Schizosaccharomyces pombe: one gene and its partner. The protein of the gene in region 1 purifies or fractionates together with the protein of each later gene. This does not show direct contact. Each region holds a gene or a part of one and is shown in the gene's direction. Other genes may lie near its edges.

What was found. Proteins that work in one complex are often made in the same cells at the same time.
Region 2: the proteins of prp17 (region 1) and cwf10 purify together in Schizosaccharomyces pombe (affinity purification with mass spectrometry; 3 studies listed by BioGRID, with this or other methods). This does not show direct contact.

Annotation. Positions count from the first base shown.
Region 1 is NC_003423.3:2,650,052-2,655,684, forward strand, and holds the start of prp17 (Prp19 complex WD repeat protein Prp17), read left to right. Parts: upstream 1-1,542; 5' UTR 1,543-1,594; coding exon 1,595-1,705; exon of another isoform or gene 1,706-1,746; coding exon 1,747-2,511; exon of another isoform or gene 2,512-2,550; coding exon 2,551-3,166; exon of another isoform or gene 3,167-3,209; coding exon 3,210-3,257; exon of another isoform or gene 3,258-3,296; coding exon 3,297-3,433; 3' UTR 3,434-3,493; coding exon of another isoform or gene 3,494-5,633. Other genes in the region: Mre11 complex BRCT domain subunit Nbs1, read right to left, coding at 1-172, 215-294, 334-482, 587-675, 714-767, 827-863; 1-phosphatidylinositol-3-phosphate 5-kinase Fab1, read right to left, coding at 3,494-5,633.
Region 2 is NC_003423.3:4,050,985-4,056,479, forward strand, and holds cwf10 (GTPase Cwf10), read left to right. Parts: upstream 1-1,571; 5' UTR 1,572-1,616; coding exon 1,617-1,642; exon of another isoform or gene 1,643-1,686; coding exon 1,687-2,046; intron 2,047-2,084; coding exon 2,085-2,436; exon of another isoform or gene 2,437-2,495; coding exon 2,496-4,712; 3' UTR 4,713-4,995; downstream 4,996-5,495. Other genes in the region: SPOM_SPBC215.11C (aldo/keto reductase family protein), read right to left, coding at 1-398; protein Mtl3, read left to right, coding at 5,184-5,495. UniProt on the Schizosaccharomyces pombe protein: Component of the U5 snRNP complex required for pre-mRNA splicing. Binds GTP.

The DNA of each region.
Region 1 (5,633 bases):
TCTTCAATTACGGATTCTTTAACAGTTGATAGGTACTGAAGATAGCTATCATCTATAATTACAGTTTTTTTAAGAAAAGCATACATAGTTCCAACAGTTATACTGGACCCAGCTTGTCTGTTCATAACAAAGTGGGTAGTAGCATCGCTATCGCGTAGTCCAGTCGGTATACCTGAAAGTTGATAAGAAGTGAAAAAAAAAAAGACCGAAGTACCTAAGAGGTTTAAATTTGAAGCCCACTGGGATAACATTTCAGGGTTATCGAATTGTATACACATACTTCTCCAGTATGCACTTAAAGTTAGTAAATCATATATAGTCGATAAAACTTACTTTATCGTGAATGGACATTTACCCAGTTGTATTTTAAGATCTTTTTCTTTGTAAGAATCACCATTTTGACCAACAACTTTTTCATTAACCTTGGTTCCAAACTTCGTATCGAGGTCCTTTACTTCAAACTCGCATGGGCCACCGGTAAACTGTGCACATATTAGCTGGCATTGATTTAAAATATAAGAAAGATAAACATATAATAGAAATGAAAAATGAAAAGCTCAATATTTCCATTTAATTGGATACGTACGTAGTCTTTCTCACTTGGGGTCAAAATCGTAAAACGAGCATGGCGTTTACTAATTGATTTAGAAATCACTTGAATGTGGGACGAATCGTCTGCAATATTAGAAAATTAACAAAAATAAGAAACTTACCAGATACATTTCGACCTACAATATAAGTTCCTGGAAATAGTATCCGTGATTTTCCTGCTGTTTAGTACGTACAATACGGCCATAATGAAATTGATATAGCTAGTAAGAGATACCTTTTAGAATGTCACCCTCAGCCTCAATTATCCACATTTTTTCAACATAAAATTCTTTTTATTGAAAAAATTCAGAAACCAGAATGCTGTTTTCACAACTGAGGATGCATAGGTGCGTCGCTTTTAATTTTAGTACAATTGAAAGTAACAAAGTAACCCTTTATGATGTCCAAAAGCCCTTCGTTAAATTAGAAGCTAAATCTACTAAACCAATTCTTGAATTTGAATTGACAAAGCTTGCTTTTCAAAGCTTTCTTCAAGAAAAAGTTTAATCAACAAAAACTCTTAAAAAATTTATAATTTCAAAAAATTAGACTTACACAGGTTCTCTGTCCTAGCCTTGCAAACACAAAAAATACTGTGAGTACACTAGAAAATGAATTTACTAAAGGGGTAAACTATCGTACCAAAATGAAATTTTTAAAGTCATGAGCTTATGTGAGCAAACAAACTTCAATTAAATACTATTTATCATACGTCGTGTATATGCACTACTGGATAACTTCTTTTACAGTTTAAAAAAGTCCATGCCTCTTTAAATAACTAACTTTATTTCTAGTTTTTACTACATTCCTTTATTTTTTAATCAATGAATTATCTATTACCTATCCTAATAAGCAGAAGTATGAGTTAGCTGTAGTGTTTCATTTTCGCTAATTGATATTAGCCAGGAATCTCTCATCCTCGCTAAACCTCCCTACAGCTTAATCTTCCTTAAACCATTACCATACGAATTTGCTGGTTTCATATTCGCCGTTTGCAATTTCTATGTTGGTTGCAAACTATTCTAGTGATTCAGAAGAACAGGAGAATTCCCAATCGCCTAACATCCAACCTCTTCTGCATACTGAAAATTTAGCGCCAGCTGTGGTTGATAACGTATTTATCAAATGTTTTTTATAACATGCTAATCATTTTAGGTAAAGGATGATTTAATTGTTTCAAAGGGAGGAAACTCTAGAGAATTAGCGCGTAATGTCCCGGTTAATGAAATGGTGCAGCCTGCTTTAGGGCCTGCAAATCCATTTGTCACTAAAGAACAGGATTCTATAAAGAACAGTATTACCGGTTATGCTGAGAGGGAATATGTTCCAAATTTTGTATTTAATCAAGAATATTATGCTAATACACATGCTATTTATGGAAAACGAAATTTTGATGATAACGAAGCTACTACTTCTACAGATTTAAAAAGGAAGTCCCAGAAAATAAAAGAACGTAGAGAGGATCCTGGCGATCCATCTATCCTTGAAGGGGATGGTGCTTATAAGGGGCCATGGGCCGGATACGGTTCTGAACAATCCTCTTCACCTTTGGAGTACAGTGAATATGAAGAGGTTGAATCCCTGGATGTCAAAAGTGAAAAGGATACGGAATCTAATAACCTGGGTCAAAATGAATTATTGAAGGAACAATTAGCTACTCCAGAAGTTGAAACTCATCGCTCTAAAGAAGAGACTATACTTCATAAAGATAGATTATTTGATTATCAAAATAGAAGCTATATGCATGTCCCGAATGACGTCGGAATAAATTTATCGGAAGAGCCTGGTGAACAAACTTGTTACATTCCAAAGAAGCATATATTCACTTGGAAAGGTCATACGAAAGGTATTTCCTGCCTTAGGTTTTTTCCGATTAGTGGCCATTTACTTCTTTCTGGCTCAATGGATAATCAGATAAAGGTATGTTTGTAAGCAAAAAGATGATAAACTAATATTTAGATTTGGGAAGTTTACCATGACCGTTCTTTGCTTCGTACATTCCAAGGACACGCTCGTCCTATCCGCGATTTATCATTTAGCCAAGATGGACGATCATTCTTAAGTACTAGTTTTGATAAAACAATTAAACTCTGGGATACCGAATTAGGGAAATGTTTGAACTGCTTTAATTCAGATAGATTAACAAACTGCGTCAAATTCCAAGTAGATCCTGATAAACCCAACGAGTTTTTAGCAGGAACAGCTGACAAAAGGATCCTTCAATTTGATATCAGAAGTCCTGATATTGTTCAAGCATACGATCATCATCTCGGCGGAATCAATTCCATAACATTCCTTGAAAACGGAAAGCGCTTCGTTACCACATCTGATGACTCTTCAATGCGATTTTGGGAATACGGAACTCCAGTTCCTATAAAATTTGTGGCTGACATTGCAATGCATTCAATGCCTCGGGTTGCCTTACGGCCAAATGGAAAGTCGATAGCATGTCAATCTCTAGATAACTGCATTTACGTATATTCGGCATACGAGAAATATAGACAAAACAAAAAGAAGGTCTTTAAGGGATACAGTTGTTCAGGTTATAGCCTAGAAGTTGGATTTTCACCTGATGGTATGGCGTTCATTTTTTATTACGAATTTCTAACTAGTTTTAGGGAGATTTGTTTTTAGCGGAGATTCGAGCGGAAATGCCTGTTTCTGGGGTAAGTGCTTGGAATTGGAAAAACACCTAACATTTTTAGATTGGAAAACCTGTAAGCTAATGGCTAAACTCCCGGCTCATAGTGGACCCGTACAAAGCATGGCGTTCCACCCTCAAGAAACAAGCAAGGTAGCTACATCATCTATAGTTGATGGGTCTATCAAATACTGGGATTAAAAAGATTGTTCATATTTCTTGACCAAACAGCGAAATATATACATTAAACTAACGTTTCTTCTATTCGCAAAACTTAAAACCTTCCCCAGTCTCAAAATCCTGAGATGCTAAAATATAGCAATCCATAGCCTTTCGGAATCTATTTTTGTATTGCTTTGGAGTAACAATTGTTGGTTCAGGACCTCTACCAACTAAGCCTTTCTCCTTTACCCAACTTTCAAGTTTTTTGTCCCAAGTGTATGTTCGTATGAAATCAATTATTCCAACATAAAGTTCTTTTTTTGTATAATCAATACCAACAATTAAAGAGTAATCCATGATATTGAGTTTTGAGAGGAACAATGTATCATTCCAAAGGCAAGAATGCAAAAGACTTTTTAGTTGTTCACTAACAAATATTGGAGATTCGTAAATAAGTTCAACCAAATTTTCATCAAGCAATACTTCATCTACCTTCCCTGTAGATTCTACATGTCGATTCCTCATGGAACCTTTAAGATCAAATATTCTAGACGGACATTCATCATAAAATACATTTTCCATAATCATTATATCAGTCTTACAGATTGTACCAGTAGTAGGATTTCGAATGTCTACGCGGTAAAATCCAAAGATTTTAGTCAATGCAGTTGGCAACTCGTGAAAGAAAACTTTAGATATGTAATCAAAATAAGCTGGAGCAAAATTAAGCAAGGAGTCACTTTCCAACCTTGACAGAACTTTGAGAATGTATTTCTTATCGAAAGTTTTTAAAAATGCTGATCCAGATTTTCCACCGCTAGATTCCCAAAGAGAACATCTCGCTAGAGATGTCACAAACGTCTCCTCACAGCCACAAGCTCTTCGCAAAGCACTAAATTGTTCCGCGAAAAAGACCTTACAGGATAGTCTTGCTGATCCTTCTTCAAACTGGTATTTCAAATGCGTCCCCGTTGGTTTGAGCATTAAGTTTTCAATTTTGAATTGCGTCGAGCCTTGTAAGCCTTGATTGGTTAAAGCTTCGTCCATGCTATCTTCAATTTCTACCATTTTTGATAAATAGTCAGGAGAGCTAAGAGTAAAACTTATCAAGGAGCTAGGTTCGTCTTCCCTTATGATCACATTTGAGTCGGAAAACATATGCTCTGTAGGTTGTAGAGGAAATTCAAAAGGTGGAGGATTGAGGGAGTTCCATTCATTCCAAAATGCAGATAAAATCCTGTAAACTGAAGTTTTGTCAGCCAAAGGACCAGAAGTTGGCAACTTTGATCCCTCTTTATCCATTTGACTAGAAGGTTCAAGGTTTTGCTGTTCTTCGAGGCCAGATTCATTTTTGAAAAGAATTCCAAAAATATCTTCAAACGCTTCAGGTGAATTGTCTTCATTCGAAGAAACATTTTCTCGCTCCTTGCTCATAGAATCAACTCCAGAAAAATTGCTTTCGGTAGCGCGATTTTCTTTTGTGTCATTAATGCCATTCTCATCTTCGGAATTTTCATCATCAAATGCTTCATTAAGGTCATTAAATACTTCTACTACCGGCTTAGATGGGACTACAGGAAGAGCCCGCTTGCGTCGAGCCTTTATTAATTCTTCATCTCGTTTTTGCTTTTCTTGTAATTGTAAACTTAGCTCTTCAAATCTACGCACTAAAGAGCTAACCCGCACATCTTTTGCTGGAATGGGCTTCCTGGGTGAGTATTTTGTAGAATTCTGTATACTGGAAATTTTTGCAGATATTGAAGAAGAAATAGGCATGTTCATCCCACTTGTTGAAGATGCATTGACAAATCGCCTGTCACTGGTACTAGCACTTTTCCGCTTATGAGAAAGCATATTAACGCCTTGTCTTTGGCTTATATTTGGATACGTTTGTCTACTGAAACCTGAATTTGAGACCGGAGAAGCTGGAAAAGTGTTCTGAGTAGAAATATCATTGGTAAAATCGATGTTGGCTTTAGGAATATCGGAAGATGTTGCTACTGAAAAGCAATCAGATTCTGGAGAACCAACATTTGCCATACTATCTGCATACGGAGCAACACGCTTGTTTGAAGCAACATTAGTTTGGGTAACTTTCTCGAGTTGATCATCAGTGGATTCAGTTTTAAAGGAGGGATATATATCAATTTGAGTATTCTCAAGTGTCTCTGGCAAATCTAAAGGGGTTTGGCTTAATGGACGTTCCAGAAACACTTTCTTAATTTGAGCGGCTGCTATT
Region 2 (5,495 bases), 1.4 Mb from region 1:
AGGTCAATTTGCTTAACTCCAAGTCGACGCATGCTCATAAGTACTTCTTGACGTAAAAATTTGGGTGCTCCACAAGGATGCCATTCATTTGGACCTGTACGAACAAGGCCACCCTTGGTAGCAATTATAAGTCCTTTGTAAGGGTATAAAGCTTCTCGTAAAAGATTCTCGCTGACCTCAGGGCCGTAAGAATCGGCGGTATCAATAAAGTTAATATTGAGTTCAGGCAAACGTTTTAAAGTTGCGATGCAAGCCTCTTTGTCTTTGGGTTCATCCCATATACCATCACCGGTAACTCTCATTGCTCCGAATCCCATTCTATTGACAACCATGTCGCCAACCTTGACAGTCCCAGCTTGTGAAGCATCTACGGCGGAAGAAGCTGCAGTTTTACTCATTTTTGTGTCTTTTGTCGCTTTTCTTAGAAATCAAGATCAAGTACTATAGTGGATCCGGTAAGTGTGGGATGTCAGACGCCGTTTCCTTTTATAGTAATTTTACATGGTGTATTCCTTACATAAGCTGGATTGATGCGGACTATCTTAAACCACGAAAACTGATTTATTACATACCCTATTTACAGAATCCAGTGGTATGATGTAAGAGCGCGTTAGACAATATATTGTCATAACGATGACTAATACTATTATAGTACGATATTGCTGGTTGGATTTTGAATTAGAGTAAATAGCTAAGTCCTTTTTGATTTGGCTCTTATTCAATTTAATGATAATTTTATGGTTCCAAAATCTGATGCTGGATGAATTGTCTAAACTGTATCTCTGTCTTCTTTTGCCAGCCCATTTTTATTCATGAGCAACGATGGTCGCACATAACGATAATGATCTTTATTGCTATGTTTCTTTCTATTCAAGATAATGTGGATTTATATTTTCCATCTTCTTGAATTATGCTTGATCGTGCTATCAAATCGTACTACGAGTTATCATTTGGAGACCACAAATGGGTTGACCAGTTCCGTAAATCGAGGTAAACATTGCACATAATAACAATTCTAGGACTGTATTTGAAAGGAAACACATTTTTTGAATTTAGTTGATGATGCCAGTATATTATTAGTGTTATTGACATTCAGCAATTTGTTGTGTGTTTTATAAACACACTAAATACTTTGTACAGTTGCAAAACTTGCGCTCTAAAAATGTTTGCACCGCACTTTTACAATGGCTATTTACTCTTACTATTGTCTTCGAAAAGCTTATAAATTTGGCTGCTAAACATGGGTCGGTAGCTCAAATCGTAGACATAACCAGTCTTTTAAGGTCTCAATTACACCCATGTACGACTTTTAAGGAGGAAGTTGGTAAATAAAAAAGTATATTTGGTTTTCAATAATTACGATTCATTCCTTTCTATCAAAATGAGACGATGTCGTTCTTCGGCAACCTTAAAGAGTGTAGTGGAAGTTACTGAGCCGATCATATCTCGTTTAGAGAGTATAAAGACAATGATTTCTCTAGCTCATTATCAAAGCTTAACGAGATATAAATCGCAGTTGAGACATGAATGCGCTAAAGCTCGAAAACTTGGTTACACTTTACTTCAAATTTGGTAATTACCAAAAGTTGTGCATTGTGGGTACTTGGCAGTAACTGATGATGGAAGAGGATTTATATGATGAGTAAGTGGTCTAAAAACATTTTATAGTTATTTCTAACTCGCCAGGTTTGGAAATTACATAGGCCCTGAAAATGAAGAAGATGAAGAGGAGCTGTTTCCTCAGGCTCCTAGCCCTACAATTGCACAGGTACCATCCTTTGAAGAGGTCATTCCTGATGAAGAATTAGAAGACGTTGAAAGGGCCGAGGAAATGGCGTTGAGTCATCTAGAGCCTCAGAATGCCGTTGTTCTTCACGAGGATAAACAATATTATCCTAGCGCTGAAGAGGTATATGGGTCCAACGTGGATATCATGGTTCAGGAACAGGATACTCAACCCTTAAGCCAGCCCATTATTGAGCCAATTCGTCACAAAAGGATTGCTATAGAAACAACAAACGTCCCAGATACTGTATACAAGAAAGAGTAAGTATGTGTAACAATGTCTTTTCTAACTTTTTAAGGTTCCTCTTCGGTCTCTTAACTGGGACAGATGACGTTAGATCTTTTATTGTTGCTGGCCATCTGCATCACGGCAAAAGCGCTTTATTAGATTTACTCGTTTATTATACCCATCCTGACACCAAGCCGCCAAAAAGGCGTTCACTTCGATATACCGACACTCATTATCTTGAAAGAGAACGTGTGATGTCTATAAAAAGTACTCCACTTACGCTCGCAGTTTCTGATATGAAGGGTAAGACGTTTGCATTTCAGTGCATCGATACGCCTGGTCATGTCGATTTTGTTGATGAAGTCGCTGCTCCTATGGCCATAAGTGATGGTGTTGTATTAGTCGTTGATGTTATTGAAGGTGTAAGTTATTCTGGCCTTTTCTTGCGTTTTGAAGATATAAAGATTCTAACATGCTTTAGGTGATGATTAACACCACTAGAATTATCAAACATGCGATTCTTCACGATATGCCAATTGTGCTCGTCTTGAACAAAGTTGATAGGTTAATCCTTGAGCTACGTCTCCCTCCGAATGATGCTTACCATAAACTTCGACACGTTATCGACGAAGTAAACGATAACATTTGCCAGATTAGTAAAGATTTGAAATATCGCGTTTCTCCTGAGTTAGGGAACGTTTGTTTTGCTTCATGTGATCTTGGATATTGTTTTACATTGTCTAGTTTCGCAAAACTCTATATAGATAGACATGGAGGTATCGACGTGGACTTATTTTCTAAAAGATTGTGGGGGGATATTTATTTCGATTCGAAAACCAGAAAATTTGCCAAACAGTCCTTGGATGGCTCTGGCGTTAGAAGCTTTGTCCATTTCATATTAGAACCGTTGTATAAATTACATACCCTTACTATTTCTGACGAAGCCGAAAAACTCAAAAAACACTTATCTTCTTTCCAAATTTATTTAAAACCCAAGGATTATTTATTAGATCCTAAACCACTCTTGCAACTAATTTGCGCATCGTTTTTTGGATTCCCCGTTGGTTTTGTGAATGCAGTTACTAGACATATTCCATCGCCTCGAGAAAATGCCGCTCGTAAAGCCTCTCAATCATATATTGGGCCTATAAACTCTAGTATCGGCAAGGCTATCTTAGAAATGAGTCGTGAGGAATCAGCACCATTAGTCATGCATGTTACTAAACTTTACAACACCGTCGATGCTAATAATTTTTATGCATTTGCTCGTGTATATAGTGGTCAGGTTAAAAAGGGTCAGAAAGTTAAAGTTCTTGGAGAAAATTATTCTTTAGAAGACGAAGAGGATATGGTGGTTGCTCATATTGCTGAAATATGTGTACCTTGCGCACGATATCGTCTTCACGTTGATGGAGCTGTTGCCGGCATGCTAGTTCTTTTAGGAGGTGTTGATAACTCTATTAGCAAAACAGCAACCATCGTTTCGGACAATTTGAAAGATGATCCTTACATTTTCAGGCCAATTGCTCACATGTCCGAGAGTGTTTTCAAGGTGGCTGTAGAGCCACACAATCCATCAGAATTACCAAAACTACTTGATGGCCTACGAAAAACAAACAAAAGCTACCCACTATCTATCACAAAAGTAGAAGAATCTGGGGAACATACTATTTTCGGTACTGGTGAGATGTATATGGATTGTCTACTTTATGATCTTCGGACTTTATACTCTGAAATCGAAATCAGAGTTTCCGATCCAGTTGCTCGTTTCTGTGAGACTGCGGTGGACACATCAAGTATCAAGTGTTTTTCAGATACTCCAAATAAAAAAAATCGTATCACAATGGTAGTTGAGCCATTGGAGAAAGGAATTTCTAATGACATTGAAAATGGAAAAGTTAATATCAATTGGCCTCAAAAAAGAATCAGCGAATTTTTCCAAAAGAACTACGATTGGGACTTACTAGCTTCACGTTCCATCTGGGCTTTTGGTCCCGATGATCGTGGTACGAATATATTGCGGGATGATACTCTTAGTACAGATGTTGATAAAAACGTGCTTAATAGCGTAAAAGAATACATTAAACAAGGTTTTCAATGGGGGACTAGGGAAGGTCCTCTATGTGATGAGACAATCCGAAACGTGAATTTTCGCCTGATGGATGTAGTGCTTGCACCTGAACAAATTTATCGAGGAGGTGGTCAAATTATTCCAACCGCAAGGAGAGTGTGTTATTCTTCTTTTTTAACAGCGTCTCCACGGCTAATGGAACCAGTGTATATGGTTGAAGTACATGCCCCCGCTGACAGTCTTCCTATTATTTATGATTTATTAACGCGTCGTCGTGGTCATGTCCTCCAAGATATCCCTCGGCCAGGTTCCCCATTATATTTGGTGAGAGCACTTATTCCAGTCATTGATTCTTGTGGATTTGAAACAGATTTACGAGTGCATACTCAGGGTCAAGCTATGTGTCAAATGGTATTTGATCATTGGCAGGTAGTACCTGGTGATCCACTGGATAAGTCTATCAAGCCCAAGCCATTAGAACCCGCACGTGGCTCTGATTTGGCGAGAGACTTTCTGATTAAGACAAGACGTAGAAAAGGTCTGGTGGAAGATGTTTCTACAACTCGCTATTTCGATCAAGAAATGATTGATTCTTTGAAAGAAGCAGGTGTCGTACTCTCTTTGTAATGTCGGTTTTAAGTCTTTATAATGGATTTTGCAAAAAAAAATAAATTGGGTAGATTTTAATAATAAAGTATACGATTATTTATGAAAGTTCGAGAAGTCTAACAACTTTTTTTTGCTTTCAAATCTCGCGTTTACAGTGTATGAAATCCGAAAAATCAGCGCATATCTTGAAGCCGTAAATTATTTGTGAAATCCTTGATCAGAAGGAAAAGTCGCATTTTGGTTTTACGATTTTAGTATATAGATAAATAACTTCTATTATTTATTTTTTTATGTTAAGAAACTAACACTCAACTGAAATAACGTAATTTCATAGTACTATAAACACCCGAGGTCATATGTCATGAAGTTACCCTCTCAGTATACCGGAAGACTTTAGGGACATATACAACTTCCGGAAGTGCTCTGCTTTTGGAAGTAAAATACAGCGAGTTTAGTTAGATTAGTTTATTATTATCCTTAAAACTGAAGATGGGTTTGAGACTTTTGTTTTCTCTCATTTGCGTATTTTGCATATCGAACATTTTTACGCAAGCCTTCTTGGTGCATCAAATATATGGTAATTCCAGCTTCACAAAAATATCTTTAAATCAACTTGAGGGCAGAGATTCTCAAGAGGAACTACAAAGGCGTCAGGAAATCCGATATTATGGTCGTGCCGCTGAAACTGGAGGAACTCCTACTTACTACGGGTATGCGACACCCACTAGCTCTAGTGAACCCAGTATCTTTTCTGAATCTGCTACTCCCTCAGAAACTAATTCTTACTCGTCTCCGGTCAGC